2 linked regions of the Zea mays genome follow. The protein of the gene in region 1 interacts with the protein of each later gene in a pairwise test. Links are inferred from orthologs where the notes say so. Each region holds a gene or a part of one and is shown on either strand. Other genes may lie near its edges.

The links. The genes of interacting proteins can lie anywhere in the genome.
Region 2: the proteins of Protein PEP-RELATED DEVELOPMENT ARRESTED 1 homolog, chloroplastic (region 1) and protein rough sheath 2 interact in binary tests that used the Arabidopsis thaliana proteins (3 or more experiments, as listed by UniProt). The link is inferred for Zea mays from reciprocal best matches to the Arabidopsis thaliana genes AT5G48470 and AS1.

What each region holds. Positions count from the first base shown.
Region 1 is NC_050099.1:18,446,097-18,450,049, reverse strand, and holds the start of Protein PEP-RELATED DEVELOPMENT ARRESTED 1 homolog, chloroplastic, read left to right. Parts: upstream 1-1,146; 5' UTR 1,147-1,149; coding exon 1,150-1,476; intron 1,477-2,006; coding exon 2,007-2,162; intron 2,163-2,604; coding exon 2,605-2,673; intron 2,674-2,777; coding exon 2,778-2,948; intron 2,949-3,558; coding exon 3,559-3,702; intron 3,703-3,953. UniProt on the Arabidopsis thaliana protein: Plays an essential role in early steps of chloroplast development. May be involved in the redox control of plastid gene expression by maintening the redox state around chloroplast nucleoids.
Region 2 is NC_050096.1:158,673,989-158,678,281, reverse strand, and holds the start of protein rough sheath 2, read left to right. Parts: upstream 1-1,482; 5' UTR 1,483-2,111; intron 2,112-4,293.

The sequences.
Region 1 (3,953 bases):
TTGGTTGATCAAGTAGCATCCAGTTATCGTGTTGATGTTTTGAGTTCCTATTAGTTGTCCTTGTGCACGTGTTTGATTTGCTTCTTTGTAATGATTGTAGGTGTATTGTGTGACTTATGTCCACAATGCCATATGTTTACTAGGTAAAACCTTAGATAGTTGTGTTTTTTGTGCTCTCTGTACCTTATCTTTTGCTCAATATTTTCATATCCTCCTTCCTACCTATAGTCTCTGGATAGACAACGTTGCGTCGTGCCAGAATTGTCCATTCTGCCAACGAAGCAGGTAGTGCTAGGGCGGACGTGCCACCATTGGGGCTGTCCACGTTGTTAGGCTACTCACAATGGGGATTTCATGTCTCTGTTTCCAAAAATGCCACTTCAGATTTATGGATGAATGAAATACCCTCTCTCAATAGAGAGTTTCATCTCACTATTTCATATGTCAACATACTTCTTAAATGCTGCATATAAATAACCAATAGGATTTACTCAATTATATGAAGATGAAACAAAACACTCTCAATGGAGGTTTCACACAGTTTCCAAGATCTTGGAAACGAGTTAACATGGTTTCATCCCCATGAAACTCCATGAAACTCTTCCTTCTTAAATGATGTGACATGTCATCAAAATAGCTGATGTGACAGGCTAATTAATACATGAAACACCCCATGAAACCTCCATTGTGAATAGCCTTACGGAGCTGGGGAGCGAATGGTCAACATATAAAGGTGAGTAATTTTCATTAATAATTAAAAATCAATGGAAAAAGAATAAAAATAAGTGATAGGTGAGTAATTTTCATTAATAATTAAAAATCAAAATCAGGTAGAAATAGTAGTAAAATTGCTACCAACTTTGTAGTAGGTAAAAACTGCTTTAGCTGTGTATTTTGATAAAAACCAATACCTTTAGTTGGCTTTTGTTTTTTTTAAAATTAAATGTTAGTTTTTACGTAAAAAACCATATGCTATGCAAACTTATTCGTTGTAGCCCCTTAAATTTATGTGCTGTAGGCACACATGGATATGGATCTGCAGCTTATAAATATAAGGAACTACAACGAAATATTTGTATCCTATATGCATTGTTTTTTCGTTTAAAAACTGCACAAGAAGCCTCTTAGCCTCAAACCGCCAAGAATGGAATGGATAGATCTGCAGCAACCCCTCCCAGAACCTCTGACTTTGCTTCCCATCGCTTCGTTTCCAAGAGGAGAATGTTTCTCTCCCTTGCCCAGTCGCCTGCCTGCGCCGTCGTCTCCTTCCCATGGAGGTCCTCGTCCCAACTCATCCCACGGGTCCCCTCCCGCTGCACCCTCGCATGCCACGCAGCGGTGCCCAAAGTGCCCCTCCCCATCGCCTCGCCGGCCTCCCTCGGGGACGACCCTAGCAAGTGGGACCCCGCCGAGTGCGACGCTCTCCTCCGCGGCGGGGAGCAGGTCGCCTCCGTGCTGCAGGAGATGGTCACGCTGGTCAGGATGCCCTTCCACCGTTTCTTGGGTTGCTTCACTGAATCACTGACGGAGATTACTAGTATGAATTTTTGAAATGAACACAGTGCTTCATAAAATTGCGCAGTTTTTCGGATTTTCAAACTTATTAGGTCGTTATTTATATTATAAAAAAGGTTAAGCTGTTCCGCAATGAACTGTTCCACTAGTTTCTTTCGTTGCCAGGTAGTATGCTAGTGGAGTTTGGCCCTCTTGGACTAATTGGCAAAGAGTTGTGAACGCTTAGCCCATGGCTACGGCTTAGCCCATCGTCAATTTATCCTCCATTTTCTTTCCTCTACGGCTTATTAGTTTGTTCTATATTATAATTCGCACTAAAATGGTTCAAAAACTACCATTTGGGAGTCTTGAATGCTGAATGTGGTAAACTGTTAATCTCATGTAGTTGTGCAGAATATAACCGTTATTCATGTGGTCTGACTAAATGCCTCTACCTTATAATTGTATTACTGATATTGTTCTTGTATGTGATTTTCTATTGGTGTTTGTAGATGGAGGACATGGAGATGGATGGTGCATTTGAGCAGGTTGCTGTGGAGCTGGTGGCACAAGGAGTTATTGGGAAGAGGGTGGATGAGATGGAGTCAGGTTTTCTTATGGCACTTGATTACATGATACAACTTGCACAGAAGGACACAGATGATGAGGTACTTGGTAGTCATTGCCTAACTCCACCAAGTACCTGTTTGCATAACAGCTTATTTATTCTTCACTAGGCGTTACCACTCATTTGCCTATCTTTACTAAAAAGCATAATTGAGCTATGTATTTTTCTTTTGCCACATTGTAACTATTTTTATACCAATAAAGCATATCGATGTTTCTTCAACTTTAACAGAGAAATTAAATATTATTACTAGTGTATCCAAACTTGTTTATATTTATTCATGTTAAAGCTAGTGCTAGTTACTTAGAGAAGATGCATAAATTAAAAGGACCTGTGAGATTGCTGTGTTGATGTGATAACTGTAAAATCCATGTATGCTTTGAGACATTGTTGACAGACTGGAGTGCTTACTAAATCCTGCTATATGCATATTTCCCCTTAGTTTATTCTACATGTTTTACATGCTTGTCTTATGATGGCAGCGTAAGTCTATTCTTGAGGTAATTAAGCAGACAGTGCTAGACCATCTGACGAAGAAATGTCCTCCACATGTAAGTGTTATTTCAAGTGTCCAGTGTTATCTGTGCATATATGTGTGTATGGATGTGGGCATGTTTGTGTCTTCTGACTGGTATTGTTGTATTTTACAAATCAGGTCCAGGTTGTTGGGCTACTTTGCCAGACTGAAAAGAAAGAGAGCAGACATGAATTGTTGCGCCGCGTAGCTGCTGGTGGAGGTGTTTTTAAGAACGATAAAGGTCTTAAGTGCCAAATTCCTGGGGCAAATCTTAATGACATTGCAAATCAGGCAGATGATCTAGTAGAGGTAAGTTGAAAAGCATGAGTACACATATCCTTTACTGATGGCCTTCCATGGAATAACACAATCTTCATAACCTGATTCTTTGCAATGGAACATTTTCTTTTTTGTAAGCACGTTTAATGATAAGTTGCTAGGAGAGTAAAACCTAATTACAATGTAGACTTGGTCACTCGGACACTCAACACACACGCACACGCACCCACGCACGCACGCCGTTTATTTATAGAGGGATGGACCAAACACTAAAAGTGTCCTCTAGTCATAGGAAACATTTGGACTGTTACTTTTGTGTTCTAAACAACCTCAAATTACAAACATAGAATGCTAGGGCTGCCTCACTATTTTATTATTTTATCTCACACTGCTTAAAATAGATCATCAGACCTAGAATGGTGGTGTGTCTAGTTAGAATTGCAAAGCCTAAAGTATGTTTGAAACTCCCAAATGGACGAGACAAAATGCTACTGGTGACATTCCATATCACTTTGCTTCTTGGAGATGATAATAGTAGGCTGATAACTTTTGGAAAAGAACTGCTTGTAGTAGTTAATTATTGTTGTTTTCATCTTGAATAATTTTTATGAATCTTCTAACGTCTTGGTTGTTGTTATAGTCAATGGAATCTAGGGACACCATTCCTGATCGAAAACTTCTTGCAAGATTAGTTATAGTAAGAGAAGAAGCTCGGAATATGATGGGAGGTGGCCTGTTAGATGAGAGAAATGATCGTGGTTTGACTACCCTCCCTGAGGCAGAGGTACTTTTAAACTTGGAAATCTTAATGTGACATGCATGGTAGATGTGTATTCCATGACTAATTGCAAAATATCCTTTTATAAGGGTCTTCAGTCTCTTTGGATTGCATATACATATGGTTGTTGAGATGTGATGGAGGAAGGGACATCATCAATTTGCTTGTCCACATACATCTCAGTGTCTAATATTATTTAGCAATTGGATGTTTAACAACTACATCAACTTTTCCATTTTATCACTGTGAGGAGTAAA
Region 2 (4,293 bases), on another chromosome or scaffold:
CTTTCAAGACCCAAGGTAAGAAACTTGAGGTAGTCAAAGACTTGACCGAGAGGCTAGATTCTCTTGCCCAAACCTAGGACTCAGCCCTGGTCGAATAAGCAAAGATCACTGAGCTCAAAAGCAATTCTTGTCTGTGTCTGAGAAGGCTATAGACAATGAGAGATCCGTTAATAGAGGATTGGTTGCTCGGTTGTACTTAGCCACCAAGGCCAGAAACTCGGCTGATGAAGAGAAACATTAGTAAGTTCCTAAGCGCTTTGGTCTTTTTAATACTTCCTTATGTTTGCCCAAAACCTGGTCCTGCCAAAAACTTGTTCTTGTCAATCAGTTGTGTCAATATGGACGACTTACATCCATGATGTTGAAGAATGTCATGTACCCAAAGTAGTGTGAAGAGTCCGATAAGAAAAATCACCCAACATTAAATAAATAGTGAGATGGAGAGTCTGAATAGCTGATATAAAATTTAGAAGTAAAAATGTATTGATTGCTGACAAAAAAATCGTAAGATATTAAGATCAATAACAATACTATATGTTATTTATTTTTATCTAATTATTATGCTAATAGTAGCTGATATAACCACACACAGTTATTATACTAGTTTGACCTGTGTAACTGTTGGCCACAGAACAGGCTAGCTACTCGTCATGGGCACTCACTCAGGCGTGCCTGTTGAGTAGGAGCAGTAGTAGTAAAAAAGAAGAAGGAAAAAAAAGCGATCTCTAATCCGCGCGGCGCGGGGGCCATGCTGCCGTGATTTGACTCGTGGAAGCCCTCCTCCACGCTCGCTCCCCATCTTTTTCGTCGCTTTCCACGCGCGCTGTGCTCGCTGCCACGACAAGACGCGACGCCGACGACGTACGGCGCCTTTTCCCACCGCCCGCCCGCGCGCCGGCCAGCCCCCCAGAGATGCTGCCATTTCATTTCCCACCCCATCCCATCGATCGTCACTCTACTACTACTAATATTGAAGGAGCGATTAAAGCCAGCTATTAACATTGAAGGAGTAGTAGAAGCTGCAAATTCAACCCAAACGGATAGATTGTATAGGACTGGAATGAGTTTATTTCTTTGAATCTGATTTTTTTGCGTAAAATTTGATTCGGGGCGCGTATCCACCCACCCACGCGCGCACGCCAGAGAGGCCGGAGCCATGTCCGTCCATGTCGCTCGCTCGTCCCATCAATCAACTCTCCAACAGTCTCGCCTCTTCTCTTCTCTTCTCTCTCTCTTTTCTTTAACTTCTCTCTCCTTCCATCCCCCGCTGCCTCTGCGTGCTCAGCCCAGGGCCAGGGCCGGGCAAGCCAGTACTGCGAAGTCAGCTCGCAGCAGAGAAAGCACCCCCGGCCCACCCCCACAACCACGTACTGTATACTGCTGCCACTGCGCCAGCCAGCACGCTCCTCCACCTCCATGTGCATGCTGCAGCTGGAGCTGCATGTGTAGGCGTGGCCGTGTCCCGTCTCTCGTCTCGTGTGGGGGTGCCTGTGCTCATGCCATTGCCATTGCCATTGCCATGCTGCGTGCCGCTGTTGCCCGTGCTTCACCTGCGCTGCGCCCCCCTGCTCCACTCCATCCTAGTAGCTCTACAGCTTCGAGTAGCTCGCTCTCACTCGCGCTCTCTACCGCTCCGGCTCGCTGAGACCCTGACCCTGTGTCCCTGTCTATATATACACGCGCGCCCCCTTTCCGGGCATCCCTTTTCCTCCCGCCCGCGCCCCCGTCTTTTCCTTTCCGCGTGCCCTAATTTCTCGCTGCGCCTTGTCCCCCACACCTCCCTCCCTCCGCCGCTGGTGCTCTCTCCTCCTATACATACAAACACATACACACAAGCTCGCTCGCTCGCTCACGGGCTGTGAGAGAGGCCGTGGAAAGGAATCTTTCAGCTCACACCTCCCTATCCCTCCCTCCCTCCCTCCCTTCTCCTCCTACTGCTACTGCTCGCCAGGTCCCCTCGCTCGCTCGTCGTCTTCAACCTCACACAATTATTTGTGCTCCCGCTCCTTCCGTCCGTCCTTCCTCCCCCCTCCCCTCTCCCGCTCCTGCTGCCTTGCCTCTCAGCCGAGGGACGCCAAGGTCTCTGCCAGGATGGTGTAGGCCGTGCCTCTGTAAGTTCTTCGTTTCCTAGCTTTACTATCAACGCGCACGTATTAGTTCACTCGTTCGTTCGTCTCTGGTTGTGTGGATTATTGGGGAGGAGTAGCAGTAGTGGCAGTCTGATCTGGTTTAGCATGTCTTCTTGCATTCGGGTTGTTTTTTACGGCACCTCCTACATAGTAGCAGTAGCAGTACTGTGGTAGAGATGTTGATTTGTGACAAGGATTGTTCCTCAGTTTCCGGGTCTTTTATTTTACCAGAGGAAGCGCGCGGGTGCAGCCGCTGAATGTGATGTGTCCCCGGTTTTTTTTCTTCTATTTTTCTCTCTCGTTCTTTATTTCGTGGTATGTGCGCGTGAGCAGGAGAATTTCTTTTTTTGAAAGGCGAGCAGCAGGAGATTGTGTCGTCGATTTCGTTCCCAAAAATTTGGCTATTTAGTTCATGTCCTGCGGCCCCCCTATTTATTTCCTCCTGTTCGTCGGCGAGAACCGTCGGTCGTCTGCCTCGTACGTGAATTCTTCTCGTTCGGCTTCAGGTGTGCGGCGGCGGTCCTGAACTCGTTTTGGTCTGTCAGAATAGTTACTAGTTAGTTTGGTGCCATGGTTCTTCAGAAATCTTCCCGGTCGTCAACGCCATGTTTTCTTCACCCACCATTGTCCAGCTTGATCTCATCTCCCCTGGATGCCCTTTGGAGTATTAACCAATTAAGATCGAGCAAGGATCTGCAGCATGCGAAAATGATGAAGAAACCTTTGGGGGGGGGGAAAAAGAGAAGAGAATCGCTACTCCTATTCCTATATGATACTGTAAAGTTCACATCCAGCAGTCCACTCCAAGCAAGCCCTACGCAGATCCAACAAGTCCCATCCTACCCTTGTACTACATATATGTCGTAGGGTACCACCACACTGATCTGGCGTCGACACGTTGCTGTCCGCATTGTTGGGGCTATGTTTCCTCATCATGGTTTCACCATGCTTTGATTAGACGTAGATTTCGTAGAACCAACCAATCCTCAACAACACCACTTGGCCATCTCATGATTGTGTGTAGGGCATCACTACCCCCCCCCCCCCCCCCCCCCCCCCTCTCTCTCTCTTTCTCTGTCAAAATCTGGTCTTGTCTCCTTCACAGCACCGCCCTCCTTTTTTTTACATACAGTACAGTACAGGAGCCAAATCACTCACCTTCCCCGCCGCTCTTTTTTTCAACCATCCACAACCTCGGCGACGGGACGCATGGGGGAGTAGCACCGCCGTCTCTAACCCGGCGTTAGCAAGGCGCCGGAGCGCGGATTATTAGGGCTTGGTCCCGCGCGTCATCAAGGTCGCATTGACTCAGAGTTTTGCCTCACATTCCCTCGCCTTGGTTTCTAGCTTTTCGCTGGGGTAGAGAGGAGTATTAGGTCGGGCATTTAAACCTGGCAGATTTTAGCTTCGTCCTGGTTCATGCGCCACGTTAATGGCCGACGGCGACCTGGCTGGCTCCAGCAACAAGACAAGCGCGCGAGAAACCAGCGCGCGCGTGCTCGCTCGTAGTGCCCACACCTTTGTCTCCATGTGTATGTGTGGGGGTGTGGGTGGATGCTGATTGATAGCGGCGTCGCCATGAATCCATGCCGCTTGGTCCGGATTGACCTTGGACTGAAGGTTGATGGACAATACAGAGGCTAGTACATTTTTTACAGTGAAATCTACTGTGTGGGTTAAACTCGGGTGGTTACTCACTGCTCTGTCGTAGTATTAACTGGTCAAGTAAGGAACTGGAGGAATTAACTCCTTTTCTTCTGCTCATACTGGAGTAGGTCATGCACGGCAGTGTAAATGTTGCCTGGAGCCAGCTGCAGATCATCCTGTCACCTGAGTAAATTGTGGCCTAACAACTGCACGTCTCTATCCCACCGTTTATTATTTCAAACACATGTCAGGGTCAGAACAGTGTTGTGTACGTCCACTGCTGGTGAGCTCACAGCTCACTCAGCCTTTGAGCTGTTTCTCGAGCGTGCATTGGCGGCCTCTGCACTCTGCAGCAGCGCTGCAGCGACTAGCTAGCTAGCAAGCTTTGCTGGCTAACCACCACTGACGTGGTTGCTTTTGTTCCCCGTCCGGCATGCTAATCACTGTCCTTCACGTAGCAAGATGCTGACTGAGACATATCCGTGGTCTTTGCAGTAGTTATTAGCATATACTTTTT